Linked DNA regions of Drosophila melanogaster. The main gene of each other region encodes a partner of the protein of the gene in region 3 in a complex. Each region holds a gene or a part of one and is shown on either strand. Other genes may lie near its edges.

Region 1 (7,358 bases), on a different chromosome or scaffold from region 3:
TCAAATTAAAAGGCCGTGTAATATGCTCCTCCGAGGGACTGTTTTTGTTTTGGTTTCCTTTTATTTTTTTGCTAGCTTCTAATGGTTTATGCCTAGACAACTGTCAATGGTCTCGGGGGCTGGGCATCGGGGGAAATTGCCTCCGGCTGACGTCAGCAACTTTTCGAGAAAGCGAAAGTAATTAAAAAAGTTTAGCCGAACGGATTTTCAAAAATATCCAATTGCTAAGCCAGACATGCAATTGATGTTTCTCAACTGCACACTCTTTGTGGCAAGTTAGAGAAATTAAAAGCTTTACTTAATTAGCCGCTCAGCAAACATGTTCTTAAACATAAGTCAATTTTGAATAAAAATTTTCAATATTCATGCTATGATTTTCTGTTTACATAGTGTAATTCTATTTAACTATCATTGTTAGAAAAGTTTAGAAAACAGTATCTTTCAAAACAGTATCTTTCGAAGGATAATTAATTCTGTATTCTAAATTATTCAAGAAATTAAGGTATAGAGGCATATTTACATACATACGTATAATATGAGGGCCTTCCCTTTAAGAGAAGTTTAAGGCAACTCGGCTACAAGGGATTGGGGCATATTGACTTTACGCGGCCTGGAAATTGGCTACGTGACTTGACAATACGAAGAAATGACGACGCGACGACGAGCTCCACGGACCTGATGATGATGGTCCTGTTGGGGACGAAGCGAAGAGCCGCATGAAATGCAAATTTGGAAACATTAACAGTGAGTGTGGAGAAGTGTGGGGAGCAGTGCGCGGGGTCAAGGAAAAAAATCACAAGGACGATGCTGGAATGGAAACAAGTTGTTGGCTTAATTTCGTCACAGCCAGCTTGTTTTCATTAACTGGCCATCGAGGAGCTATCGACTGCGTTCCGGCGCTCGTTAGGCGTATGAGCAATCGATTAAGAATAATGGGCCGTTGGAATTACATCTGCAGCACAGAGCAATCAACATTAAGATCCGATTAAACTAGGATATCCCACCGAAGAAAATAACAAGAGGATACCTTTAAAGGTGCATCGATTTTAAGTCAAATTTCGGACCGCATGTTATCAGATAAACAAGCGGGTGATAGGAATAAGAAAAATTTCAAATAAATGGTTTTTAAAAGTTATTTTAAAAAGGTTTTTGGAAAAGATTTGGATTTTGCCTTTGCTATACAATCATGACCACAATTGCACATATGTACATATATTAAAAGTTCAAGTGACATTGAGCAATAATTCTTAATCCTTTTCAATTCACGGCAAAAGACAGAATGAAACCCGCCACCCATAACTGCGGAATGAATTTTAACCCCTTTACCCTTCGTTGCTATGCGTGTCACACACATTTATATGCACAACAGGAAGTTGATTATTAAGTGCGTTCGCGAGTTGCTTCTCTTAATGCCTTATGCTGCAGTCTCTCCTGCAATCCTGCGGCATCCTTGCTGGTCCTTCTCCTTCGCTCCGTCTGTGTGGCACACGTGCGAGTGCGCCTGTCGGCAAATTTCTTTATTGCGCTTTTATTTATCTGTCGGTGCCAGTTTCAACTTCGTTTACCGCTTCAATTTATCGGCTCCATGCGAGGCAGATTCACCCGTCCGTAATTGGAGTGCGTTTTTCTGTCTTTTAGTCGCAGCCTCAAAGGCCAGGATATGTGCCACAGGCAAATTGAATTAATGAATATGCCTAGTTGTTCTTGACCTCTCAGGAAAAAACTTTTTTAACGAGCCAAAATTGCTTTATTTTATAATTTGTATAATTAAAATGTAGAGCGCGTTAATTGTTGGGGATTGAATTACTTTAAATGAATTAATTGTACAGTCTATTTTTTGTGAATAAAATCAATAATTGACGCAAATAAAAATAGGCGAGGATATTAAGATCATTAAAACTTAAATGGCTAGAAAACTGCGCCGGAAATCGATGTCGCAAGAGTTGCGATACCGCCCAATCTTACGGCTGCTCATTTGCCGGAAACGGCGCATGGCCTCGTGGATCTCCGGTACACTGATTGGCTTGACCACCTCCATGCCGCGACCCTGTGTGACCTCCGGACAGACGTGCATCATAGCCGGACTGCCTCCGGCGGAGGTCACTCGGCTGTAGGGCTCGGTCGCACGGTTGTCCGAGTTCAGGCGCGTCAGGATCGAATAGTCGACAATGGCGGCAATGGTCTCATGCGCCAGATAGGCCAAAATGTTCATTGTCGGCGTTGGGATGCGAAGGTCCGCGGGCAGGTCCAGAAAGCGGCGGAACTTGTTCTTGATCTTCTCCCCATGGCGGCAGTAGAATGACGTCTTGCGCGCCTCATTGAACTCCAGGTATTGCTGGCCCGTAAGGATCTGCGATATCCGATCTGCGCGGAATAATCTTCGCATTCGGTCCTCGTCGTGTAGCTCGTACACATCGATGGCCAGCTCCTCGTCCTCCTCCTGCTGCTCCAAGTCGTCCATGAAGTCCTGCGGCCTTCCCGTGCGGATACTAAGGAACCTTTTGAGTATGCGCATATCCTTGAGGTGCTTTCGCATCCGAGCTATCTTCACCGGATGGTTGCGCATCAGGAACTCAAAGTCCGCCTGCGACGGGCAGGGATTCTGTTTCCGCCGCATGGCCACCAGCGAAGCCTCATTGAAGATGCCGCGCAGCTGCTGCTGCAGGATCTGCTCCACCAGCTTGACACTTCCCGTCCTGGGCTGATCGCTGTCGCCGAAGCTTCGCATGATATCCGCAATCTCTGTGAGCAGTGAGACAGGTGCATCATCCGGAATGAGAACGTTGGCAACGTTGCTCCCGCTGGCACCACCGGCTACATTATGTCCAGCTAGGTTGATCTGCTGTGGCGAGGGATTCGTCGGTATGCTTCCACTTTGCAGCAGAATCACTTGGCGCTGCACAAGCAGTGGCTTGATGTCCTCGGTGGTCTGCAGTTGCGGCGTGCTGGGCGCCGAGGGCGGGGCAGGTCCAATCATTATCGGCGACGCTGCCATGTCGTTGGAACCCACGCAAACCGAGTTCTGTCGCATTACTCGCTTGGCGTTGTAGTTCATTTTATTTACAAACAAAGTCACCACTTCAATCGCAACAGCTGATTTCGTGAGAATAGATAAAACCCTTTGTGAAAGCGATGGCCTATCGTTAGGGATGAACGATAGTGTAACGCATTTGTGCGACATCCGACTTTATATAAATACTGTATATTATATATATATTATTATATATATATATATATTCAGGTAACCAGAGCGGCCGAGTATTGTGCCAAATAGAAAAATGTCAACACTTGTATTTTTATTTCCCTTAATTTGTATCTCTGCATTAAATGCAAAACAATCGGTTCAGCAAACTTCAGTTCCGAACCAGTAGTTCCACTGTAGTCTACGCACCACCATTTTTGTTTGCGGATGATAACCCGTAAAGCAAAAGACAACAAATCGGATTAAACAATTACCTTAAGATGTTCAACGGGATGGTGAGAACCATCCGCGACAGCGTCGTGGGCACCTATCCGTCCTGCCACGTATCCTCGCGGCTGGAGGAGCGCAGGGCCAAGCAGCGGGCGATGCGACAGGAGCGTAGACGAAAACCGGACAAACCAGACGACTTTGTTACTTACGAGGATTCCGGCAGCGACGAGGAGACGCCCCAACAGCAGGAGGAGGTCCTGAACACATCCTACAACCTGTGCGACTACCTGCGCAGCCGGGAGAGTGGACTCCGAGATGTGGGTATATGTTGTGAAGTCGCACCACTTGCATTGCTAACGTGAACTTTGTCCCACCATCCTCTGCAGCGTCGCAGTGTCAATGTGGAGTACACCAGCCGCTATGTGCTAACCCACGACATGCTGCGCGAGACGCAGATTAGTCTGGGCTACATCAACAAGGTCTTCTGCTCCAAGTGGCTGAGCAGTCGACAAGTGGTTTTCGGGACCAAGTGCAATAAACTGCTCGTCTACGATGTGAACATGCGCCGGGTGGACGCCATCCCAACGCTCTCAAATAGCCGGGCAAACCATCCTGAGGTCCAGGGTGGCCTGCATGCCATCGAGCTGTCGCCCAGCCGATCCTTCCTAGCCACCGGTGCGCGCAACTCCTCCGATATTGCTGTTTACCGACTGCCTACGCTGGATCCCGTCTGTGTGGGCGAGGGTGGGCACCGCGACCTTATAATGGGCATGTGCTGGCTGGATGACCAGTTTCTTGTGTCCGGATCGAAGGACTCGCGCATGGCTCTGTGGCGCATCAACGAGGATCACATGGAGTTTCCAGATGGCGGCGAGGAAGCGTGTCCCACATTCGCAACCATCCACCCCCTTAGTGTCAAGGAAGTTCGCACTGCCCAGAGGGTGAGCTTATGAATGCAAATCAAATCAAAGAACCATTTTATCAATAAGATCTTTTACAGATTCGATCTCTTTGCTTCAACAAGGAGTTTAAGGAGATCGCCGCCCTCTCGCTGAACGGATACATTCACATCTTCAATGCGGAGACCTTCAAGCAGACACTCTCACGAAAGCTGCCAAACTGCCAGGACAACGTGAGCATCGCCTACCACAGCGACGGCCTTTATGCCGTTGGATGCCGTTCCTATACCATCCTTTTGGACGCCCGAACCCTTCAAACCATTAAGAAGATCACATCTCGATACAGTGGCTGCGGTATACGGGCGACTTCGTTCGAAGGTAACCTGCTCACCGTTGGCACGGGTCTGGGCATGCTCCTATTCTACGACATTCGAGCCGGAAAGTATTTGGAGAGCAGTGTGAATGCCTCGCGCACAGTCGCACTCAAGTGCAGCAAAGGAATTGTGGTAAGTGAAGAGGTTACAGTTCCACAAAATACACCAATTCACCTAACTGTTTTGTACATTTCAGTATCCGGAGGATGAGATGGATGGCTTCCAGCAGGTGAAGTATGTGCCCGCCATCTACACCCACTGCTATGACAGCACTAGGATGCGCCTCTTCGCTGCAGGAGGACCACTGCCGGCGACTTTGGTGGGCAACTATGCGGGCGTTTGGCAATAGATTGGCATAGGATCCGATCCGGGCTCACAATACTGATTAGTATTTAAGTAGTTATTCGACTTGTGATCTTTAATCTTTTGGCGCATTTCGATTCAAATCGTTCACCTGCATATGTATTCCGCCAAGACAGAATTTTTATTTAACTTGATTACTCACTTTTGGTTTTAATGAAATTTATGTAAGATTTATGTTAATGATATTTTATATTGTGTGTAAACAATATACACCGTTTAAAAGTGTAAATGTAAGCATAAATACCGATCCTATTTATATATAGTACATACAATACAAATAATGGAATACTAATTTATAGACAATGCATCTGATTTATAGTCTGATCTATATGGTAATAGAATTTCAAATTAAACAAACCATTGAAAAACATTGTTTTTAAATATATGCAAAGGCTTTCTTCAATCTACAACGCGCATATTGCCGGTGGTGCTGTATAGGGCACTCAACACAACGGGTGTGGACAAATTACAAGAGTGTACAAAGTACGATGTGCCAAACAGCAACGAGCAATTTTAAAATACATTATATATAAAAGGGAAATTGTACAAGATTTACAGAATGAATGCTATGCAACTGCCCAACGACTGACGACTATCCGCATCCAACAAGACGAATATTTATATATTATATATCCTATGATGTTCGCTAGTTGTTATTATTGGGACTGCCTCCTCCACTCCACGCAGTGAGGAATCCCGTCCAGCTGCGACTGCTACCATCTGCAGAAACTAAAAGCAATATCTTAATACAAGAAACCATACTAAAATTTAAATTTTTCTGCTAGTAGTTACCTTTCTGTCCCTTGGCCACACAGTTCAGCATTTCCATTTCGTTGCGACTCAGGCGGAGAATGGTATTTAGCACGGGAACCAAGCGCTGCCGCTCATCGACATTGTTTAACGTAAGGAACTGCAAGTTTATAAAGTAAATAGATTAAGCCCGTGGATATAGTTATTGCGTTCCTGATCTCACCTTTAAGAAGACGTTCTTCAAGTACTCGGAGTTGTGCATGTGTTGTTCACGTTCCTCGGAGCGCTCTTGGCGGCGCAATTCTTCCTTGAGCATGTCGTTCATTTGGGTCAGTTTAGCCAAATCCTGTTCGTTTTCGGCCAACAGGGCAGTCAAGTGCTTGACACGACTTTCCTGGATGCTTAGGCGTTCTTTTGTGGCCTGAAGCTGGGCACTTTGGACGGAAAAGTCTCCCCGTGCGGCCATTTCCGCTTCCTCGTCCTCCTGCTGCGAAACGCTGCGTCCGAAATTAGAGATGGTAGTCACGGTATCGCTGGTTATTTGGTTCATTGATGTGTTGAGCAGCTCGTCAAGCGGCATGAAGTCGTGGGAACGTCTCGAGGCAGTAGATATCTTTCGCTGAGCAGCCAGTTGGGCCAGAGAGACGTCTCCAGCGTGGCCATCCAAGCCTGTTTCGTGGTCCATAAGCAAGTAATCGATCTTTGCCTGCTCTGGACTGGTGTCCACGCTCGCGGCGGATGCAGTGGTATGCTGAGAGACGTTTGCTTGCATCTTTTGCGCTTCCTCCAGTTGCTCCTGCACCTGCGTTAATTGCAACTGGTGCCCGGCGTCCAGCTCATCAACTTGCTGGCGATGCTGCTGCATCAGGTCGTGTTGGAATTGCAACTGGCGTTGGTTTTCTAGCGACAGCAGGTCGTTTTGCTGACGCAGTTCGTCAACTAGAGAGACGAGCTCTTTGCTACGCTTTTGCAGATCAGTGTTATCCTGTCGCAATTCCTCTATTTGACTATCCAACTGGGCCAGGCGGGCAGCTCTTCCATCGTTGCTGGCGCGCAGATTGCGTTCACTCTCTCGAAGCGCAACCAACTCTTCTTCCAACTCCTGTTCGCGGTTGGAGCCCTTATTTTGGTTTTTGCGCAGCACAGACTGTGCCTTCAACTTGTATTCGGTGTACTCTACTCGCAGGTCCTCCAGAGCTCGTTCCGCATTTCGAAGCGCCGTCTCCAATCGCTTTTGCTCTGCCAGGTGCATTTCCAGCTCCTGGGTTTGGCTTAGTAGTTGTTGGGTGGCCGTGTTTAGCTTCGATTCGTATTGTTGGGCGCTCTCCGACAGCTGGAGACGCAATTGCTCCGCCTCGAGCTTGGCCTGTTCAACGCCATGTTCCAAATCCTTGTTCTGAGTGAGCGCCTGTTGCTTGCTGTGAACTGCGTCTTTGACCTGGACCTGCATGCGATCAATCTGCTCCTTAAGTTCTAGGGAGTGGGCCGCTTCGCCGTTTTTGGCCTCCTCTAGGATAGCGATCTCCTTGCGCAGCTGGACGATGGTGTTTTCCTTGCTGG
Region 2 (8,270 bases), on a different chromosome or scaffold from region 3:
CCAGCCATTCATTCATTCATTCATGCCTGGGTTCCTGGGACTGCAGCTACTCCTCCTCCAAACGGGGTTCTCTGCGCTGCTCGAAATGTGCAGAAGTCGCCCGACTGGTTTGCCTGCCCCTTCGATATCGGCCGAGAAACTGGGTTCTGGGACCTGGCTTCCCGCTGCCAGCCTTTTGCTTTATTTATAAACTTGGTTTCCTGGCAAGCTGCAGCAGCAGCTACACTGAGCGCCTGGAGCAGATGGATCTTTCATCCCGACGGGATGCCCACGCTCCGTTTTGGCCGCTTCCCACGCCGGCAGCTCGGTCAATCGCCCATTGGCAGGCCAGGCACGTTCCTGCGTTTCGCTCAGTGTAGGCCAGGCCCAGACTTTAATACACACACACACACACACATACAACCCAGGCGAACTCGAAAAAGAGCGTAGACCAAACGAGTTTTCGTAACCAATTTTGTTGGTGCCTTGGAGTTTCGATTGTATATGCTTTTTCTGTTGTTATTATTTATTTGTTCGAGTGTGTGTGTGCCGTTTTTTTTGTTTTATTTTTATTCATATTTTTTGCCGATGACGGCTACGTCTTCTTGTGCATAATTTCTGTGCTGCCTTAAACTCTTCCTCCTGCCCGCTCTTGCCGCTCTCTGCCGCTCCGCGACTTTGCAGCTTTTGGCAGAGGTTCATTCAAAAAAACGAAAGACTTAGGCAACAAACTTGCAGGACAGAGCGGGCCAGGGGGGGGTAGAGATTTGGATACATAGACGCAGGCAGGCGATCGGGTGGAGGAGAACCTTTGTAGAGTCAGCCTCGCCTCAACTCCAACTGATTCATTACGCCCACTCATCGACCGCATAATCGAAGCCAAGACGACAGACACGTAAACCGCAACGAGCATTGGTGAATCGCTAGCCAGACAAAACCCAAATCAACCGCAAAGCCACAGCAAATTTATGGGTTTTAATTGAAATTCGATTTTTGTCTATAATATGGACATATGGACTATTACTATTCAGAGGGCTAGCCAAAAAGATGGCCAAAACAGATAGCTCGTTTTCCTGAAAACCGTTTTTGACTCTTGATGTTTCTTTTTTTTTCTCCTTGCAGAGATGCGTGCGACGTCCAAGGTGCTGACCACCACCAAATGGCGACGCGAGCGGCGTCAGCGTAGTGCCGGATACCAGCCGCACGAGGCAGGCAACAGCGAGAGGGAGCGGGAACGGGAGCGGGATCGAGAGGATCGCGACATGGACAGTCCCATTGACATGTCGGTGACGACGGGAGCTCTGAAGCAGAGAGCCTCACCGCCGCCACCCTATCGCGAACCCTTGCCTGGGACCAACTACGCGGCCAACAGTCGACCCAGCGTCATTACCCAGGCTCCACCCAAGCGAGAACCACCGGAGCAGGCCCACTCTACAGGTGAGAAGTCATATATGCACATTAGTGTCAACGATCATACTAACCTGATGCTTTGATTTGCCTTGCAGATATGGCGATGTGCGACATTGACGAGCACTTCCGACGCTCACTGGGCGAGAACTATGCTGCCCTGTTCGCCAAGAAGTCACCGACGCCTACGCCAACACCCACGCCCTCGCCAAGTGGTACACCTAAGCAGCAGGTTTCGCCACTGGCCTACGGACTGCCTTCATCAACCAGCACAGCGGCATCGCAGCACTACCAGCAGCAACGCTCGCCGCTGGCCAAGTCGGGATGGGTCATTCTGGAGCCCGAATCGCTGCAGCCGGAACTGCCGCCGCCGCAGGAGGAACCGCTTCCCCTGTCGCTGGCACTGCATCGCACCCAAACGCCGCCATCGCCGCCACCTTCGGCCACGGGATCGGCACCAGCGCTACCCACGGCCGTCAGCCAGGTGATGGAGGCAGCGGTGGCGGGCAGGCGGATCCTGGACACGCCACACCACACGCCGCCGAGATACAACACACCACCGCCTCCACCGCCGGCTTACGGAATAGCCGGAACCACCGTTGTGGCGCCGACTTTGACACCGACACCAACTCCGAATCCGACGCCGTCGCAGATTCCCACGCCCACGCCCAGCATGCCGGCCATCATTCGGGTGAAGGCTGAACCGGGACTGGCGGCCGTGGCTGCCTCCTCGACGCAGACGCCGCCCGCTTCGCCCACCTCGTCCACGAATATCTCGATATTCACCAAGACTGAAGCCTCGGTGGACGACCACTTTGCCAAGGCGCTGGGCGAAACTTGGAAGAAGCTGCAGGGCGGGCACAAGGAGTAGAGGAGGAGCAAGCGAGCAAATCACCCACCAACCCGCACACAACCCGATCCCGATCCCGATCCCAATTCCCAACAGAACTCAACACAACCCAACCCAAAAGCAACCCCTGATCCTCAACGATTCAACTCAAGAGCTGTTTTTATTATAAATATTTCAAACTACACAATTAACGTTTAAAGATCTCATGCTGATGTGAACGGAAATTCTTCAACTGCGAGTGTATTACAAGTTTCTGATATAATGATTTTATTGAATATTGATAACGGTTAGCGCGCGGATATAATTATATATATATATATATGAATATTTACATATATATGGATAAATGTGTATGACAAAGTGTATACGTACAAGTGACAAAATTTTGTATTCTTAACGCTTAGTTGGTAGAGACTAATCCTTAATAATATACCTATTAAACATAAGTAAACAATCCTACAAAGTCTGTCTATTCATTCACCGAAAGTGGGAAATAAACTGCAAAATTTCAGATTTTGAATTGCATATTTTGAATTTTCAAATGACTGTTGGGCGGCTAACAGAGCGTTAACAGCGCGCGCCTAACAGCACACAGTGCATGGGCAGCCAATGTGCACACACCACTAACGGCAGACGGAACGGCGACAATGCCATTCACAGCGAACGATAACGATTGTTGGCATTCGCACGGCACGAATCGTACAGTACATTTACATTGCAAAAAAAAGCATAAAACAAAGTTTTAAAACAATTAAAAGCGAGCAATCCTCGGCGTATCATTAAAGAACCAGCCCACTGTTCGCCCCATAACCGCAGCAGAGCGCGCGACCTTGCAAATTCACGGAGCAGCAGCGCCAGAAAGAGAGTTCGTCGGCAGAGGGGCGCAGAGAGAAAATGTCACGCAAAGCAGCAGCAGCAGTGGAAGTGGAAAAAGAGTGAAGAAACCGCAGTAATCGCCATCGGGATCCGATCTCAGTGTCCTCCAGTGCAGCGATTCGTCACACAGACGGACCGAGGAGCACCCCAAAACGATCCTGATGCGGCACAGCCGAGTGCTGAGTGTGGCGAAACTAACCGATGGACAGCAGCAGCAGCAGCAGCAGCCAGCGAAAGTAGGAGACAACAACGGAGCCCTGCGTCTGCGGTCCTAGAAATTCGTAATTCGACGTTCACTGGCAACACGGACACCTGCTAGCGCAATGCGAATGCCGCCGATCCTGGCCAGGATTGTTCGTAGACTGGTGCTTGGATGTCGTCGGTAATTGGGTGCGCCATCCTCCGTTGGATCTCCCCTAGCAATCCGCTGGCACCACCATGCAAAGCCTGGACTCCTCATGCCAAGAAGCCGACGTAAGAACTGTGGCATTTTTCATGCAGCCTGAATACGATTAATTCCCATTTTACACTTTATTTTTCGACAGTTTATTATAAATGACACGCTCAAAAAGTTAAAGGGTTCCAGCAACGCGGACCATGTCCAGGGCCTAGCGGTCCACGCCCACGGTTCGGGTGTCCACCAGACGCAGTTCGTCCAGTACGGCACGTCTGGATCCTCGCCGCAGCTGCAGCCGCAGCAGTCCTACCATCAGCTGCATCCCACGCTCCAGCAGCAGCAGTTCGCCTCCTCGAGCAGCAAATCGTACCTGGAGACCAGCCTATTGCAGGCTATACCACAGATTCCTGCCCAGCCGCCCATTTGTATCTTCGATGACGACGAGTCCCCCACCGAGGGCACTGGCGGCTCACTGGGCAGCCTGCTCACGGAGCCGACCTCGGCCACGCCCAGCGGCCTGCCCACTGCAATTGCTCCGTCGCCCTCCTCGTGCTCATCCTCCACCACAACGATGTCGAACTTCAACTCAATCACGTCGCCGTCGCCGGTGGTGCCCGATCTTCTGCTGTCGACACCGCCGGGCGTTAACTCCAGTCTAAGCAATAGCTCAACGGGAGCGGCCAGTGTGTCCAGCAAGAAGTCCGAGAAGCGGCCACCCTCCGCCAACTCAACAGCCAGTGGAGGCGGCCACCACCTGCACCATCATCACCTCCACCAGACGCACAATCACCATGTCCTGGCATCGCCCACGTCGTCGCCCAGCAAGCGCCAGAAGTCCAATAGCAGTAGCAAGGAGAGCAGCTCCTCTAGTCGCAGCTCAGCTATACCCGCCGCATCAGTCTCCACAGCCACCTCGTCGTCGCAATCAGCGCGCGCTGGCGCCGGCGCTGCCTCCTCCAATAGCAACAGCAAGCCACCTTCATCCGTCTGCCAGTCGGGCAACAGCAAGTTCTTTAATCTGCACGAGAAAATAAGGGACCTGTACCTGCAACTGCTGAGCAACGACCTAAACTACTTTGCCGAGACAGGGGTAAGTGTTGAGCCAATCAAAAGCGGAAACCTTATGTAAGGACTCTTATCACTTTCAGCTAAAGCAGCGCACTCGATCCTTTACACTGGAGCGGTTGGTGGATCGGGAGAAGCTCAACACGATTGTGGTCAACTTGTATCCCGGCAATAAGGGATACTCGCTGGCCCTGCATTATGACGAGCACATGGTGCTAAATCCGCAAACAAACGAATGGTCCCCCACGGACAAGGACGAGACCTCGAGCGATGCTGCGGGATTGGGTACGGGAACGGGCAGTCATCGGAGTCGTCCCAAGCCGCTAGCCCAGGACGAAAGTCAATCCAAGACGGAGGCGGGTCACGCCAAACACGATTTTGGACTCGTGGAGGTGCTTCGGTGGCCCTACGAGAACGATTTGCTGCTGCAATGCATCGATCGTGAAATGCTGCCGGAGTTTTTAATGGATCTACTCGTAGCGGAGACCGTCAGTTTGTCGGATGGCGAGGGAACACGGGTGTACGCCAAGCCTAGCGTCTTCTATGCCGGCTGCGTTATCGCCCAGATCCGCGACTTCCGCCAGACATTTGCCACCTCAACGAATATCTGTGATATGAAGCACATCCTGCTCAGGCCCACGAACGCCACCCTATTCGCGGAAGTGCAGCAAATGGGCAGCCAGTTGCCGGCGGAGGACAAGCTCGCCCTGGAGAGCCAGCTGGTGTTGGCCACGGCGGAGCCGCTGTGTCTGGAGCCGGATCCCAGCATAGGGCGGCAGGCCATCAACTCCCAGCATCAGCGTCAGCTGTACAACTCCCACGAGCTGCGGCGCCAGATGAAGAAGTTCACCCAAACGGCTATCAATCGGAAGCGCAAGTTGGACCAATTCACTCACCATCACGGACTGGAATTGTGCGATTACCTGGCTCGCCTGCGCCAGCGACCGCGGACGGGAAGTAGCAGTGGTGGCGCCAATGCCACACCGGCCACGGCGCCCACCAACAATCCGCTGGTGGGGGCCATGCTCTCTTCGTTCACATCGAAGGTGCCCCGGCGACCACACGAGGTCATACGGCCCATTCGTCCGCCCACACTGGAGTATCCCGCCAATCTGAAGGTGCCCGAGCACGTGATCAGCGTGGAAAAGTATGCCAAGGCCTACGAGCCCCTTAACGAATTCAGTGAGGCCTGCAAGGACGGTTGCCAGCCAAACTGTCGTCATAACTTCCAACCGCAGCTGGTCGAGGAATACATTCTTGAGACGGAGCGGGAGGCGAGTGAAGGCCGGCGGGCTCTATACCACATAAAGCTGTCCATTTTCCAGCGCCCCTCCGATGCAGAGTATCTCGGCGAGCTCTATGTGGACCGAGATTACCGGGAGGGTGAGCGAAACGGCGAGTCGTGCCGCTTTGCGCTGGGCACTCGGGTGCATGCCAATCGATACATTCAACAGTTCCGCGAGATCTTCACCGAGGAGGGACGTAAGGCGGTCAAAATCACGCATTTGATACCCGGGCATATGCCAATTGTGACTCACACGGGATTGACGAATGAGCAGCGGATCCTCTTGCAGCAGCAACAACAGCAGCAGCAGCGTCAAGCTCAAATGCAGCAGCAACAACAACAGCAGCAGCAGCAAGTCGTTGTTGTTGCCAATCAGCAGCAACAATCGCAACAACAACAGCAGACACAACAAGCGGGACAGCAGTTATCCGCCACAGTGCATCATGTTGCACTGCCGCGACAACAAATAACTCAAAAGACTCTCAATTTGGCTGGAAGTAATGTAATCAATGTACAACAAAACTTTCGGCAACAATCAGCGCAGCAGCAGCAGCCGCAAACATACACAATTGAGGCACCGCAGCAGCAAGCTGCAGCACAGATTGTCCCGCAACAACAGCAGCAGCAGCAGCAGCAACAACAACAACACATACATCTTCAGCAGTTGGCCACCGGCAGCAGCAATACCTCCACAACAACGCACCAAGTTAGCCTCAGCAATGGTTCCCTGGTCCTTGTGCAACAGCAGCAGCCACAGCAGCAATCGCAACAGCTGGCACAGGCGCTGCAACATTCGGGCATAACCATCCAGCCCGCCACCATTCAACAGCAGCAACAGCAGGTGAAGGGCACTTCCGTGGTGGGGGCCAATTCAGCGCTGCGTGCCCAGCTCAACTCAAATGTGCCAATACTGGTTAGTAGAACATGGTCAATTAAGCATTGCTAGTTTGTCAATAACTTTATGTACTCTCCTATTCCGCAGCAAACGCAGCTGAAAGTGCAGCAGCAACAGATTATGCAGAAGCAACAGCAACAACAGACAACTGCCACTAGTAACAACAACAACAACAATAATAACAATAACAATATGAACAACAATACGGCCATACATCCGAATCCTGCAATAAACGCCATAGTCAACAGCATTATGAACTCTGCCAACCAGTACCAGCAACAACAGCAGCAGCAACACCAGCAGCAGCATCAGCAGCAAAGTAAGTTCGGTGGGAATCTTCGATGGGAAATATGCTAAATAACAATACAAAATTGTCTTACAGCGGGGAACACGTCGAGCAACAATAATGCTGCAGGGTCAGGCGGCAGCACCAACAACAACGGAAGTAGCACCAGTGCCACAACCCTCAAGAACTCCAGCAATGCGTCAATTTTAAACCTGCTCAACAGTGCTCCAGCTGCGATGACCAGCACACCCGTGGCCAGTGGAACGTTCACCACCTCCACCGGCCAGCAGCAACCGCAGACGCTGACGCTTGTGCAGCACCAGCAACAGTCGACGCCAAACACTGCCGATGCGGCCACCGCTACGTATGTGCAGACCACCCGTGGCACACCCACGCTGGTGAGTACGCAGCGGAAGCAGCAGTCCAGCGAAGTGTTGCAAAATCTGTTGAACGCCAATCGAAAGATTGGTGGCGGAGGCACCACAACGACAACTTTTCGAACAAACTCCGCGGGCAATTTGATAGCGGTCAACCTCAACCAAGCCGGCCAGTCGCATCACCAACAGACAGGCGACGGCAGCCAGACGGTTAGAGTGTCCATGTCGGCGCTTGCCTCGCAGTTGGCCTCGCCGCCCGCAGTGATGACAAACCCCACCACCAGCTACACAGTGATCTCGTCGGGCAACAGTGCCGCGGCGGCGGCAGCATGGATTCAGAGCCCAACGGGCCCAGTTCAGCAGCGCATTCTGAGCTCCCTGAGAAGAGATAGCACCACAGCGCCGCCCAACGCAATTGTGGTGGGCATGGCCGCTCCTTCTCCAGGTAGCGATTCGAACGCCTCGAATGCCAGTGGCTTTGCTGTGCCAAACAATCTAGCGTCCACTTCAAGTGGTGGTGGCGGCGGTGGTGGAGCCCTGTCCGCCTTGCTGACCAACGCAGCAACTCCCTCGCCATCGGGCTCGGATCACTCGCAGTCGTCGCAGACGCACCAAAACCAAGCCCTGCTGGAGCGCCTAAGCAATGTCACATCAAACGTATCCGCCGTTTCCATGCCGCACATGTCACCGCAACAGCCGCAGCCAACGCAGCAGTTCATCACGAAAACCATCGTTCACTCTCCCGCCACATCTTCGATACACTCGCCCATGTCTAGTCCGCATCCGCAGCCCTCTGCCTCGCCGCAGCAGCAACAACAGCAGCAGCAGCAACAGACCACCGCCACTTTGAATC
Region 3 (7,148 bases):
CTTAGTAAATGGAATTAGATATGCGATAGGAATGGCCTAGCAATACAGGACCCCCATCCCACTGACCAATCCATTCCAATCCGTTTGTGTGTGTATGTGCCTGTTCCATGTGAATATTGTGTTTTTCGGCCTGCAACAGATACAGATACAGATACAGATACTACAATGAACCACCCACAATTACCGATTCCCAACGATTACCATTACCAGATGCAATACCGCGGCATGGTGGCCACCGCCTTCGGGATTGCGCGTGAGGAGGGCGCCCTGAAGCTGTGGCAGGGCGTAACGCCGGCGCTCTACCGACACGTCGTCTATAGGTGGGCATTCCCAAAACTCCTCATTCTAGCATCTAGATCACCGCCACAGCCAATCTGCGCCAGCAGCTGTTAGCCATCAGCCATTAGCTCAGCAAGTTCTAACCCAACTTCTCCCTGTCCTCCCATGTCCATCCGCAGCGGTGTGAGGATCTGCAGCTACGACCTGATGCGCAAGGAGTTCACACAGAACGGCACCCAGGCTCTGCCGGTTTGGAAGTCGGCGCTGTGCGGCGTCACGGCCGGAGCCGTTGCCCAGTGGCTTGCCTCGCCCGCTGACCTCGTCAAGGTGCAAATCCAAATGGAGGGCCGACGACGTCTGATGGGCGAGCCACCGAGGGTGCACTCCGCTGGCCATGCCTTCCGCCAGATCGTGCAGCGTGGCGGAATTAAGGGCCTGTGGAAGGGCAGCATCCCGAATGTGCAGCGAGCGGCGTTGGTCAATCTGGGCGACCTAACCACATACGACACCATCAAGCACCTGATCATGAATCGCCTGCAGATGCCCGACTGTCACACAGTGCACGTGCTGGCCTCCGTTTGTGCCGGATTCGTGGCAGCGATCATGGGCACGCCAGCTGATGTGGTGAAGACGCGCATCATGAACCAGCCCACCGACGAGAATGGCCGGTAAGTGACCAATGGCCGCATTTAACTATTGGAACGCTTAATCACCTATGTTATTCTCGCAGGGGCCTGCTCTATCGCGGATCCGTGGACTGCCTGCGACAGACGGTTTCGAAGGAGGGCTTTGTGGCGCTGTACAAAGGCTTTCTGCCCTGCTGGATACGAATGGCGCCGTGGTCGCTCACCTTCTGGCTGTCCTTCGAACAGATCCGCAAGATGATCGGAGCCTCCGGCTACTGAGCGGTGGCTCAATTTAAGTTTAGGTGTAGATGTACATACAAGCACATGTATAACGCAGTTCGTTCATGTTACCCCGCCTTTAAGTCGGTCATAATCCTATTTTCCGTGCCTGAATGCCCAAATGTCAGGAGGATGTTGTGCGGCTCCTGGCCAAGCTTAGCAGCATATACTCTGTCCATTTTAGTCTGTTATGCCAATCAGATCTTTCAGGTTTCTTTCTCTTACCTTTTGTTATTGTTGTTGCCTTAAGATTAAAATCAAAACTTACAATAAAGCGAGAAACTTGTTATTTCAACGGATATTACTTAGGCGATTACTTAAGAATTTCCCAAGAGTCGAGCGAAATCGAAAGAGACAGCAATGCTGGTGGTCAATGGAACTTGTATAATCCTGGCAAATAAATTATTAATAGGATTTTTCCCTTCCTTCAGTGAAAGTGAAACAGTTTTAAGTATTTTATCAATAGATTTTTTTTGGTATATGTATATTCCTAACCAGCTCGAGTGCAATTAAGTAAAATCAAGAAAATAAAATTGGTAATAATACCTAGGAGGCATACACACAGGCACACATATGTACATAAATACATAGCTACGTATAATATATAGATATAGATACATATATCCAAAATTGCATTTACGTTTCGATTAAAGACTCCAATGGAAAAGGAAAATTTGGGTGCCCAAAAGCAAACCACACACAGAACTGGAAACCCGCAAACAGATTGGATGGCAATGGCATTCGTCTACAGATCTTTCATCCGTCATCGTCATCATGGTTCAGGTTCATGTAATGGAGTCGTGGAGGGGAGCGGGGGAATGAACGGCGACGGTACTAGTGGTGCGGGTGTTTCGCAGCCCCTCCAGGTTGGTCTGTCGTTGTTTCTCCATCGTCGTGTTTTCCGTGTGGTTTCATGTGCAGGACTTAATCCGAAGTGTGTGTGCTTGACTAGACGCCGAGGAAAGCTAGTGCCGGTATCAGGATCTACTCCAGTCCCAGCATCCAGTTGATGCCTTGTACTATGAAAAAGATGAGCGGCTGCCAGGCCACCAGCCAACGAATCCAATCCAGCAGGCGACCGTACAAAACGTGCGGCTTCTCCCAGCTAGAGGAGAAACAATATTAAGTAGGCCAGTCAAACGGATGGCTCTGAATGGCTTACGGATTGCGGAACATCTTCTGGAGATCGACCTTTTCCTTGCAGTAGGGACACGTCTGCTTCTTGCCCACAATGCACCAACCACGTATACAGAACTCGTGGAATACGTGGTTACAAGACAACTTGTAGGTGTTCTCAATGACGCCCTCTTCCTTCTCCGAGACCAGCAACTGATTGCCACACACTGCGCAGACATTCTGATCAAGATGTCGTGTTGGAATACCCTGAGGTGTGTAGTACTGTGGGACAAACGGGAGGGTTAGAAGATTCCAACTGGGTATCTGGCCAATGGTCAACTCACGCCAATAGCTGCCGCCATCTTATCCGAACATATCTCGGATATATCACGCCCCAGGACGCCGATGTACAGGCCGTAGAAGCAGAACATCAGGCCCACATCCATCCATGTGTTTGGTGGCTGTGAGAACATGTAATTCATGCCCAGAAAGGCGGCTATGATCACCAGATAGCCCACCAGGCCAAGGCCATAGCTGAGCTTGTAGATGAAGTAGAACCACTTGTAGACCAGCCTGAAATTGGATTTTATGGGTTATTATCTGGCCTTCGTCGGTCGCCGTTCTTATCTACGTTGACTCACCTAGGCGTTGTGCCCTGGATGGGCTTGCTGATGGCCCGTCGCATAACCAGTGCCGTGATGCAGGTGAACACCAGCCAGATGATTATGAAGCGCAGCCAGCCGAAGCTGCAGGAGATGATCAGCGGAATGAGCCACATGGCCAGCAGGGTGACGAAAGCGTAGGATCTGTAGTGCCGCTTCTTCCACTCGACCAGGATGATCTGGGCAATAACCAGGGTGACGAACAGAATGATCACCATCTCGGAGTGCATGGCATCGTGGCCGCGATGTTTCTCCACCATCAGTTGATGCTGCGCTCTGTTCGATTGGATAGCCGAAAATTTGTTATGATTTAAAGGATTTTCTAAGGCCACTTCACTTACCGCATTCGCTCCTCCGGCGTCATTTCGTCCAGGGACTGATGGACATCCGCATTAGCAGGGAATTGCAGGGAAGAGGGAAAATTTGGCAGTAGAGTGGGGCTTCCTATTCGATTCCCATTAGAAAAGACTCACCTTGTTCAAGTCCACGGGCTCATGCAGGTCCATGTGCTCCTGGTGCATCTTATTGCCGTTGTATCCGCCGTATCCCGCTGCCGCCAATCCGCCGGACAGTCCCACTCGTCGTCTGCGTCGCTGCGTTATCTTGCCCACCACGTATTGCGATCGGTTTTTACCTTTGAAATTCGTGAAACGAAAACAAATAATTACATTTTATGCCTGTGTGCTTGTCCAGCTGCAGTGGCGTTGCCATTTGTCACAGCGGCCGAAAAAACGAATACATGTATGTGTGACGTGAGCCACAAAAATACAAGCGCGACCTGATTGTTAGAACCAGCTGTCCTGAGTATGGGGTTTTTCCCAAATTGTTGCTATTTTATCATAACCTTTATTTACTTTAGCTACGACAGCGCTTTCTGATTATCGAAAACGAAACGTTCGAGGCCAACGTTGCCAGATGCCGCTGCAGGCCGTGCCGATGTTTACCGACAATCAGCTGTTTGGTTCAATGAGTTGAGTATTTCGTTCCCAGCGCAAGCAAACTTATCGATAGTCCCGATAACCAACCATGTTATTTTAGGGCCCGATAAGTAAACAACAATATATTGTTAAGTAAATGTTGTACGTAGGTTTTTAAGCGAAATAAACATGCAAACAGAGCACTGGGGCTCGCTGCCCGCAGAGGATGACGGCGGTCAACTGACGCCGGACAAATACGTGCCCACGGCGGCCAAGAAACTTAAGCTGGACGAGATTCGCCAGCGCGGAGATCCGCAACCGCAAGAAAAGCAGTAAATAAATCTAAAGAAAAGCTTTAACGCAGCCGGTAAACTAACCATATATTCCATGTAGCCACAAGTTGGAGCTGAGGAGTGCGCTGGTCACCCAGACCATCGAGGTGATGAAGCAAACCGAGGTGCTGCAGTCCCTCATTGAAACGTACTCCAACAAAAATGCAAGTTCTTGGTTCTTGTTTAACCGTAGTATTTACCTAATTTACCCAATGAATTCATAGGGAAGTTCCAATTACCTCTTGAATCCGTGCCTAATGATACCGGAAGTGGACTTTCCGCCGGAGAACGCAGCCGAACTGGTGGGCAGCCAAAAGTTTCAGAAGCCCATTTGGTTCACACCAACCGTGGACACAGCCTACTCTCGCGGGGATCCGGAGGCATATCCGGAGATCCCCAGCTCTGCTTGCCGCCAGGCGATGCGCAAGGTGATGTGCGGCATGCTGCGCCTGGCCGGCTTCACCGACTGTTCCGAGTCGGCGGTGCAACTGCTGACGGACGCCACCGAGGAGTTCCTGCGCAGCTTTATCGGCGAGTATCGCGGCTACTATGACAGTCAGCCGCGGCTGCAGAATTCCACGGTGCTGCAGCTGGTCCCACTGGAGCGCGCCCATTTCGCCCAAACGGGCACCTCGCTCACCCAGGTGCACAACTACTACAAGCACAAGGTGCTGGCCAGGAATCGCGCGGAGATCGCTGAGTTCAACAGCGTACTGCAGGAGTACGACAAACTGATGAAGGAGAGCCAGAGCAGCATGCAGAAGCAGCACAACGAGTTCAACGGCCACGACTTTCTCAACATCCTGGACAACAGCGCCACAGGCAGCAGCCAGAGCATAGGCGGCATGGCCATGGGCGATATGCTGCAGGATCTGGGCGGTAGCACGGGCTCCAGTGGCACAGTCAGCTCCCAGCAGATGCTGTACGGCCTGCTCGATGGCCAGATATCGTCCAATACCTCCAACATGACGGGGACGAGCGGCAATGGCAGCACGGGCGGCAATGGAAATGGCAATGGGGCCACGATTAGCAACTTTCACGCCACTTTTGAAACGTAATTGTTAAAATTGCGGGGATAACTTCATTATCTCACACTGAGATATCTCTAGCAATCAAATGTTTCACACTTTTTATAGAACGACTAAGATCTCTAGGCTCAAGTTAAGTTAAGCTCTAAGGAAACGTACTAATTAAATAGTTTTTATTACGTGTTTTGTTTATTGCTCATCTTTTTGCTAATCCTCGACTCGTTCCAGTTGTTTTGTCGCCTCCGCTTGGTGAACTCGTTGGTGGGTTCAATGGCCACAAGTTTGGTTGCATTCGGATCGCTGGCTCTGTACTGGAACACTTTGTCGTGGCGCGTCTTTTTCTGGGCCCACGCCAGCAGGTCCCTGCCTTCCAGTATGGAGTTGCCAGTGACCACCACAGAGTCCAGAGCTTCGGGCGCGGATTGGTCTTCTTCGGGGGTCCGTCTCCTTATGTTAGGTTTCTTTTTCGGACCTGCAGGACCTTCCACCACCAAATCGGCGATCAAATAGCAATCGGCATTGGACACGAGCTTGACTTTGTCGGGTGGGGGCTTCTGTTTGCCTACGCCATTGGGTACATCCAGAGAGAACTCGATTTGCTCCTGGATTATGCCGCTCAGTCTGCGCCAAATGTGCGTTTGCATCTCCTGCGAGATCTGCAGATCGCTGGCAGGCGCGTCCTGATCCTCCACGTAGCGTTCACTTTTTACCGGCTGTGCTTCGTCCTTCCTAGTGGCCAACGGTTGCTCCTCGTTGGCTACTTCATGCGCCTCCTCTTTTGGCTGCGATTGATACATGGCATTTGTGAGCAACGTGGTGTCCGCCGCCTCCAGGAACTGGCGCATCTGGGCGTCGTCCTCGGAATCAGAGTCGCTATCCCTTGATTTAACTGGCATTTTTTGTACGCTCTTTGAATATTTATTTATTTACATTTAATTTTTAAACGATAGGTGTGCCGTTAACGTGCACGATGGTTGGAACTGCCATTTTCCAAAGCGATAAGTATCGATAGATTCTAAAAGCGCTATGATGGAATTCGAAATTACAAATAGGAGATTGATAATATTTTTGATTTGGCCATTTAGCAGACTTTTTAATAATTTTAAAAGAATCTAAACAAGTGATTTAATGTGATTGATTGTTAATTAAGGAAGTGCAGTCCAACTTTCCACGGTGATTATTACATTTAATGCTGTTTCCTGTAAAACAAATTCAACCGCTCAAAATCAATCTATTCGAAATAATGCCAGCTAAAAGTTAACGCTTTTATTGCTTATACAGGGATTTGAGTGATAACTTCGGGACCCAGGAACCCCACTAGGCCACCGAACTGCACAGACCGCAGTTGCTCACCGGGCACATCTTCATCTCCACATCCTCGCCCACCCGCACCACTGCGGCCATTCCGTTCTCCGAGTGCGGCGATATGTGACAGTGGAACATCCAGTAGCCGGGACTGTTCGAGTAGAACCGCAGGATCGTGTACCCGAAGGCGGGCACCTGGACGGAGTCCTTCAGCGGAGCACCTTTGGCGCGTCGCGGCAGCGGCGTCTTCTTGTCGATCTGTTCGATCTGGCCAATCTTCTGCTCCCCCAGCACTCCCATCCCGACGACACGGAATGTGTAGCCGTGCAGGTGGATGGGATGCGGCGTCTGCGACAGGCTGGAGATGACGAACTCCACCTGCTGGTTGGCTGGCACCTGGATGACGTTGGAGCACTGACAGTGCCGCTGGCGGCAATTGAAACCAAGATCCGCCTGTTGGGAGCGATTGCAGAAGAACTGGCCAACGCCCAGGTTGCGCGTCTGCAGCAGCGACATCTTGGGCATGCTGAAGCTGATGTCGTCCATCTGGAAGCGGAAGCCCTCGCCCTGCCGCACCTCGAACGCGTTCATGCTGGTGTAGAAG
Region 4 (6,933 bases), on a different chromosome or scaffold from region 3:
ACATTTTATATCATTAAAACGTTTACTCATCACAATAGTAGTGACTAATGGCATGGATTGTAATTGTTCAATATTCTTTGATCAAAAAAGAGTCATTTGCTGAGAGTAAAGAAAATATAAATATTCATATTGGAGTTCGTGTGTCCACTTTATTTGAATCACTCACTCGGGAAATCGAGATGCGTCTTTCGCCATTTGCTGATATGGCTAAATGCGATTCCACGAAACGCGAAATGGAATACACCGGAACATTTTCGACCATCTTCACGATTTTGCACTATATATTTATGCAGCTTACCGTCAGATGTCGGAACGATACAAAAACAAACTGAGACACTCCAATCGATGAAATCAGGTGCGATCAATGATTGCCAAATGTCTGATTTATCTCGCAAATTAGCACATGATTGTGAGGCGGATGGCTTAAAGAAGATCTCAAGTACCTTTACGGATTTGGATTCCATCGCTTGACAAGATCGTTGTGGAAAAATATAGAAATCAATGCACGATCAGTTCAAATTAGCACATTAAATTTGACGAGCGGTCAATTACTGACGATGATGTATTGAAATTGTGTATCTAGATCGCATTTAAGCTACCTCCCCACTTCGAGGATACAAAATGTGGAGTGCACGATAAGGGGAAAGATAAAGAGTGCCTTACTTTCGAGCACTCAAGGTATTATGACTGATTACATGACAGATTACAGTTTAAATAAAAACCTACAGCCGATAGCGCTCCCTTTAAAAGTAAACAAATAACTAAATTAAACTAGTGACGATTGCTAGATGAAAGCGAAATCCGCGCGGGGCTCGGAATAGATTATTATTATTATAAAAATAAATGCGTCTATACTGTAAGTGTGTATATTGCAAGTTCTAGGTCTCTAAGTTTATTTATGTAAACTACGTATACTTTACTTTGGTGTGTGTGGGAAACTCAAGAGTGAATAATACGATGGAGAATAAGTCAACTATTTAAGTGTACAATCTGTTAGCACATTTTGAGGCTACTTATGGGCCACTGCTAAAGTAGTATACTATATAATTATCGGATTCAGTCGTGTCTACAAATTAAAATGAAGCCTGTGTGATGCGGCATATTCAGCGGATCGGGCCAGAACCGGATAGCTCACCTGCTGACTGGATCAAGGGCATATATATCTGCGTGTCCGGATTTTTGGGGGTATATCCTTGGGATTTTCTGGGATCTGGATCTCGAGACGGAATGACAACAAACTACAGCTGAGCAGCTCTCGACAACAGCTGAGCGCACGTGTATCTGTATATGTATCTGTATCCGCGTAGCCGTATCTGTGTGAGTGCGGGTGGCTCAGTGTGTGGGTGCCAACTGAAACGTCGATAAAATATTTTTCTTAATCGCACAAAGAACGTGCGGCACTTGAGTAACTGTCGTGTGAATTAAATATTTCCTGGGCATTCACAAACAACAAAGCCACACAAAAACAAATTGATGACTTTTTGTTTAAGCAATCAACGGCACTGTACGCGTTCTCTTTTTTGTACGCACTTCACTTTTAGAACATTACACAATCAGTTAGAAAAAACTGGCGGCTAGTTGGTGACCCACTATTGCCATTTAACTATTATTTGCTTATTTTATTCCGCGAGCAACGAGCGAAATTCGCAGCTCCTTCATGTGTTATTTCAGCGCTGCCACCGGGCCGAAACTGTTCTGGCGTGTCTGCAGCCCTGGTGGCGTTACCAGACTACTTACCATCCCGAATCTCCTAAATAAACCAAAACGCCTGTTACAGCGCCAAAAGTCGCGACATCTTAATTAAAAACATTAATAAAATTGTTAAAATGTCCAGCAGCAAACTAAGTCCCCGGGAATCTGGAGCCTATATCGTAGAAAATGCCAAGCATGTTCGTATTCTGCCTGCAGGCATTGAGAAACTGACCCAGGAAATCGTAAAAGGCCTAATAGAAAAACGCATTGCTGTGGAAAACTTCTCGCAGCACGAATTACATCCCAATCCAAATCAGCCGGAGGATTATTCCAAAGCAGCCGACTGGGTCTTTGTGTTGGACACCCTGAACTTTTGCTTTTGGACCCCCAGTGAGTAATTGATATTTATAGCAGCATCCACTATCTTCAATGGTAATCTTCCGCAGATAACTACACCAAATATAAGGTCGATGGCTATACCGGCTACTTTGCGCTGTGTGCTGCGATTAAGAGAGCCATCAAGGAAGGCGTGGATGTGATCAATCCCAAGTTCTATTCCCAGATTGATCTGAAAACCGTGGAGAACATTTTCCGCTCTGACGATGGCGAGACAGTGATTCCGCTGCTCCAAAAGCGTCTGGAATCGCTCCATGAAGTGGGAAAAGTTCTGATCGACAAGTACGACGGCAGTTTTGAGAATGTTATCAAGAAGGCGGAGAAATCGGCAGTTCGCTTGCTGGATCTCGTTGTGGAGGAGTTTCCCTGTTTTCGCGATGAGGCTGAGTTTGCTGGAAAGCGAGTTTCCATCCTAAAACGAGCGCAAATCCTAGTGGGCGATGTGTGGTCCTGCTACAGAGGTCAGGGACTTGGGTTCTTTAATGACATCGATCAGATAACCATGTTCGCTGACTACCGAATTCCCCAGGTGCTAGTGCACTTCGGCAGTTTGGAGTACACCAGTGAGCTAATGGAGTTCCTAAAGACGGATACTATTCTGGAGAACGGCGATCCCCGAGAGGTGGAGATACGCGGCGCATCTATATACATCATCGAACAAGTTAGGGATGCTGTGGTGAAGATACTCAAGGAGCAGCACCCCGAAATCTCACTGGACAACGTCAACTCCATTGTGATCGACCAATATCTGTGGGACTACCGGCGTCGGCACAATGCCGACCTGGAGCACATTCCCTTCCACAAGGTGCTGAGCATCTACTACTAACGACGGCAACACAAATAAAGACGGTTCTTTGTTAAACTGAATTGTCCTTTAATTATCCACACGCGGGGCAATCATCTACAGAGTAACAGGCTTTGGCTTGCCCTTCTGGGAAGCGATGCGCTCGTTGTAGCGCTTCACGGACTCCTCGCGGGAAAGGTTTCCCTTGCGTGCGTAGCGCTGGTTGATCAGAAATTTCACATCCATCTAAAGACGGGAAGGTTGTTAAAATCAACTCTAGATGCTAACTAAATATGCATATTTTTGAATACTTACACCCAGAGTGGACTCGTGGCGTTTGCGCAGCGGGCGCTTGATGCCATTACGATGGGCCTTCTTGTTCTGGTTGTGATTTGTGTGGTTCTTGGACTTGGCCATCTTAAACTACTCCGGGTATCCAAAGATTCGTTGATGGGGCGGCACATGAAAACAGAAAAAATGTTCGCCATTATAATTTTAGCTTGGGGTTAACACTTGGAGTTCACTTTTAGCCAACGCCAGTTGAACAAAAAGCCAACAACTGTTGAAATTTTCGTTGCATTTCTCGTGTATTAGGCACCTACGTTTTTCGCACACTGGAATTCCTAGCTGCAATTGAAGATATTATAAATAAAAATAGCCAATTGGAAAAACGCGGAGCACACTTACGGAAACGCGATGGAAAAGAAGGGAAAGCCAGAGAGGCTGTCATAGAGCGCAGAAAAGGGACTAAATAACGCCAACCACGTGAAGATATCGTGCTGTTATCTGCGTGCTGTTAGGCGCACTTGCTTCCATCTCCAATGTAAGAAACGTAAACAACTTTGAAAAGTAAATATTCGAGTTTGAGAAAAAGATCCACTAAAGTCAAATAATGAGATTATACGGTACAAAAATCTTAACAATAATTACTCTGTTTTACTCTGTAAAATAAAATTTGCTAAGATTAAAAAAATACTGAGGTAAAATATAAAACTATCGCATAGTTAATACTAACGCGTTGTCGACTTTACGCTTATGCTTGTTTTTGTTTTCATTGCGTAGGTAAACAAAGTGTTCAAAAAACAAATTTATTATATTGTTATAATATCGAAACAACATGCCACTGACTGCGGAGAGTGCCGCCCAACAGATTCAGGTAAAGATGTTAACAATAAATGTCGATATATACTATATTTATATGGCATTTACAGGATCGCCTGAAGGACATTCAACAAAACATTCACAATGTGGACGAGGAGCGTCGTCGTGCGGAAAACTCCATTGCTAGTCTGGTGCGATCTCTGCACGCCACCAATCAGAAGGTTAAGCCCCTGCTCAAGGCCAGTTTAACGGAGGCTGCGCAGGAGGAGGCCACAATCCGAGCCGCACTGGCGAAAATCCACGAGATTCGAAGCATTCGCAATGAGAGGCGCATCCAAGGTGGGTTAGTGATGGGATGTATAAACAGGATTTAATCTCGCATATTCCACAGCTCGCAACGCTGGAAATAAGGAGGCCATTCGACGGGGCGCCCTTATGAAAATGGTGCAGCTCTCAGCGCAAACGTTGCCGTTATTCGTTGGCAAACTAGGAGAACGAGCACCAGCTCTATGTGGAGCCATTCCCGCCGAGGGGAACTATGTGGCCAAGGTAAGCATTCATTTTGATTGGACAAAGAAGCTGGGATGATGATCTGACTAATCGGACGCCACTGTATAGGTTGGCGACAATGTTGCCGCATTAGCTAAGGGAATTGATGAGGAGGAGAACTGGATCCTGGCGGAAGTGGTGCAGTTCCTTCACCGTCAAAACAAATACGACGTAATTGACATTGACGAGGAGCAAAAGGATCGCCATGTGCTGAGCAAGCGAAAGGTCATCCCACTGCCTCTAATGCGTGCAAATCCTGAGACCGATGGTCACGCCCTCTTCCCCAAGGACACAGTGGTAATGGCGCTATATCCACAGACCACCTGTTTCTACAAGGCCATTGTCCATCGCCTGCCGCAAACCGCCACCGAGGATTACGAGGTGCTATTCGAGGATTCATCGTACACGAATGGCTATGCCGAACCCTTGCCGGTCGCACAGCGCTATGTGATTGCATATCGTCCAACGAAAAAGGGGGCTGGCAGTGGCAGCGGGAATCTATCATCAGCATAAAAAATGTATTATCTTAACTTTAAGAATTAAATGTAATTGTAATAATAGCTCCAATTAAAATTGTATTCAATTCACAATAGACTGGTTTCTGTCTGGAATAAGAAGAAAGTAATTTCAGGGTGGTATTTTAATACCGGATTTTTTGGAGAACGGTTACATTGATTTCCTAAAAAAAATAAATAGACTTTAAAGTTTGTAGGAAAACAAAGGGGAAAGGCAGGCTTATAAGATGAGTAAAACGAGCTTAGCGACGCAGACCAATGGCACGGCGGAAAATGGAAACTGTTTTGATATCCTCAAAGTGTCTAATTTGTTCGAAACCAGCCTTCTGGACGAGGATGACGTACAATTAGACGCATACTTGGCAGCCTACGAGGAAATAATGAAGTAAACTGAGTGATTATGATGTTTATGTTTTTTAGTGGTGCTCTATTGGGCTTTCGGTGTTCATTAGGTTCTTCCAGCTCATGGGCAGTGTCTTCAGTTTTGTCAGCAGCGATGTGCGCAGTAAAATAGATATCTTATACGCCCTGAGAGCCAAGGACGCGGAGGAGCAGGAACACTTTAATACCTTCAGAACCATGCTGGATTACGAGAAGGAGGCCCAGTTGCTTACTCAGAAGGGTTACGTGTCTGGCAGTCGAACGCTGCTACGTCTTCATCGCGGTCTTGGTGAGCGTTATGCGCATATAACTGCCACAGTGGCTAATTGATTGGTTTCTTCTTATCTAGACTTTGTCTACGAGTTTCTCAATCGGATCCAGGCGATACCCGACGACCAAAAGACTGTGGACGTGTGCAAGGAGGCCTACGATGACACCCTGGGCAAGCATCACTCATTCCTCATCCGCAAAGGAGCGCGCCTGGCTATGTACGCGATGCCCACTAGGGGAGATCTTCTCAAGAAAGTGTGCTCCGATGTCGAGGCGGCCAAAGAGAACCTGCCTTCCATGCTGAAGCATATGAGAACCAACTACGATCGCACAGAAGACCTCTACACGCTATACGATCTACACAGCCTGCCTTAGAATCCATACATACATAATCCATATCTATACATCTGGGGCATTCAAAAGATCTGATAGAGTGATAAATACCAAAGTTTCCCTACTTTACCCTAGCCAGAAAAGATGCCTATAATATGATATTATACCATACTTTTATAATATGCTTTTGTACTGTATCTAACTCTCTATCAGATCTGGTGTCTACCCCGGCGTAGATTATGTAGCTAAAATTTTCTGTATTGATTGTGTAACTGCAAGTATTCGTTTCCTAAGACGTAAGTTTTAATTTTGCATTTTGAATTGCCTGCAATCGCTCATCTATCGCCTTGTCCACAGGCTGTGCAATATTTCCAAAATCCCCCGTATTTTAACGCCATTAAAGCTTTAGTCATGAATGAAAACTTGTCTTATCTCTGGGTGTATTGAACTTGGTCAACCTGGACAAACATAGTTTCTCGTGCCAGTTCCAAATATAACAGCATAATAAGCGATCCCGATTAGATAAGCTGCTGGGGGAATGCTACCTCATAAAAAACCCACTTCGGATACAAATGGCTTGGCGTATCTGCTTGTGATTATGGTCCAAGACAAAGACCGCTAAAACTCCCCTATATCTCCAGAATCCAGTCAAGATATATGGCCATTTGGGCTTAGCGAGCTAACTTTTGGAGCGCAAATTGCAGTAATGGCCGCCGTTTCAATTGCAGTCTAATTGCGCTATCGATTACGCCTTAGTCACTATCACTACGTATCACTATCAAAAGCGGTGAACTCTCAAAAAACGTGTTGAGTTGGCCACTTTATCGCCGTTTGGACAGGCGTTGTGCCAAGTGCAAACCGTAGAAGATGGTGGTTCTCCGGACAAATAATCCACAGACGTCACTGCTCCGT

Evidence for each region.
Region 1: Spt7 (region 3) and Spt3 share a complex: the UniProt entries of both Drosophila melanogaster proteins name them as parts of the spt-Ada-Gcn5 acetyltransferase (SAGA) complex.
Region 2: Spt7 (region 3) and Spt20 share a complex: the UniProt entries of both Drosophila melanogaster proteins name them as parts of the spt-Ada-Gcn5 acetyltransferase (SAGA) complex.
Region 4: Spt7 (region 3) and Sgf29 share a complex: the UniProt entries of both Drosophila melanogaster proteins name them as parts of the spt-Ada-Gcn5 acetyltransferase (SAGA) complex.

What each region holds. Positions count from the first base shown.
Region 1 is NT_033777.3:12,012,923-12,020,280, reverse strand, and holds Spt3 (Spt3), read right to left. Parts: upstream 3,126-7,358; 5' UTR 3,056-3,125; coding exon 1,901-3,055; 3' UTR 1,731-1,900; downstream 1-1,730. Other genes in the region: DCAF12 (DDB1 and CUL4 associated factor 12), read left to right, coding at 3,463-3,729, 3,799-4,353, 4,413-4,817, 4,882-5,034; GCC185 (GRIP and coiled-coil domain containing 185 kDa), read right to left, coding at 5,695-5,777, 5,841-5,958, 6,022-7,358. UniProt on the Drosophila melanogaster protein: Component of the transcription regulatory complex SAGA, a multiprotein complex that activates transcription by remodeling chromatin and mediating histone acetylation and deubiquitination. The SAGA complex predominantly acetylates histone H3.
Region 2 is NT_037436.4:13,499,799-13,508,068, forward strand, and holds the start of Spt20 (Spt20), read left to right. Parts: upstream 1-2,908; 5' UTR 2,909-3,550; coding exon 3,551-3,586; intron 3,587-3,657; coding exon 3,658-4,599; intron 4,600-4,657; coding exon 4,658-6,772; intron 6,773-6,841; coding exon 6,842-7,073; intron 7,074-7,136; coding exon 7,137-8,270. Other genes in the region: Tgi (Tondu-domain-containing growth inhibitor), read left to right, coding at 1,102-1,416, 1,485-2,257. UniProt on the Drosophila melanogaster protein: Component of the transcription regulatory complex SAGA, a multiprotein complex that activates transcription by remodeling chromatin and mediating histone acetylation and deubiquitination. The SAGA complex predominantly acetylates histone H3.
Region 3 is NC_004354.4:17,846,473-17,853,620, forward strand, and holds Spt7 (Spt7), read left to right. Parts: upstream 1-3,987; 5' UTR 3,988-4,068; coding exon 4,069-4,211; intron 4,212-4,272; coding exon 4,273-4,375; intron 4,376-4,435; coding exon 4,436-5,269; 3' UTR 5,270-5,415; downstream 5,416-7,148. Other genes in the region: Ucp4A (uncoupling protein 4A), read left to right, coding at 211-320, 459-947, 1,010-1,184; CG15814 (uncharacterized protein), read right to left, coding at 2,169-2,289, 2,347-2,582, 2,645-2,873, 2,942-3,238, 3,304-3,338, 3,436-3,483; CG32554 (uncharacterized protein), read right to left, coding at 5,416-6,135; Mco4 (multicopper oxidase 4), read right to left, coding at 6,557-7,148. UniProt on the Drosophila melanogaster protein: Component of the transcription regulatory complex SAGA, a multiprotein complex that activates transcription by remodeling chromatin and mediating histone acetylation and deubiquitination. The SAGA complex predominantly acetylates histone H3.
Region 4 is NT_033778.4:21,290,416-21,297,348, reverse strand, and holds Sgf29 (SAGA-associated factor 29kDa), read left to right. Parts: upstream 1-3,702; 5' UTR 3,703-3,852; intron 3,853-3,907; exon of another isoform or gene 3,908-3,934; 5' UTR 3,935-3,989; coding exon 3,990-4,028; intron 4,029-4,083; coding exon 4,084-4,312; intron 4,313-4,364; coding exon 4,365-4,522; intron 4,523-4,591; coding exon 4,592-5,035; 3' UTR 5,036-5,110; downstream 5,111-6,933. Other genes in the region: CG9752 (uncharacterized protein), read left to right, coding at 1,827-2,082, 2,139-2,914; RpL29 (ribosomal protein L29), read right to left, coding at 2,990-3,118, 3,188-3,289; CG30392 (uncharacterized protein), read left to right, coding at 5,265-5,422, 5,490-5,707, 5,768-6,063. UniProt on the Drosophila melanogaster protein: Component of both the SAGA and CHAT histone acetyltransferase complexes, which both predominantly acetylate histone H3.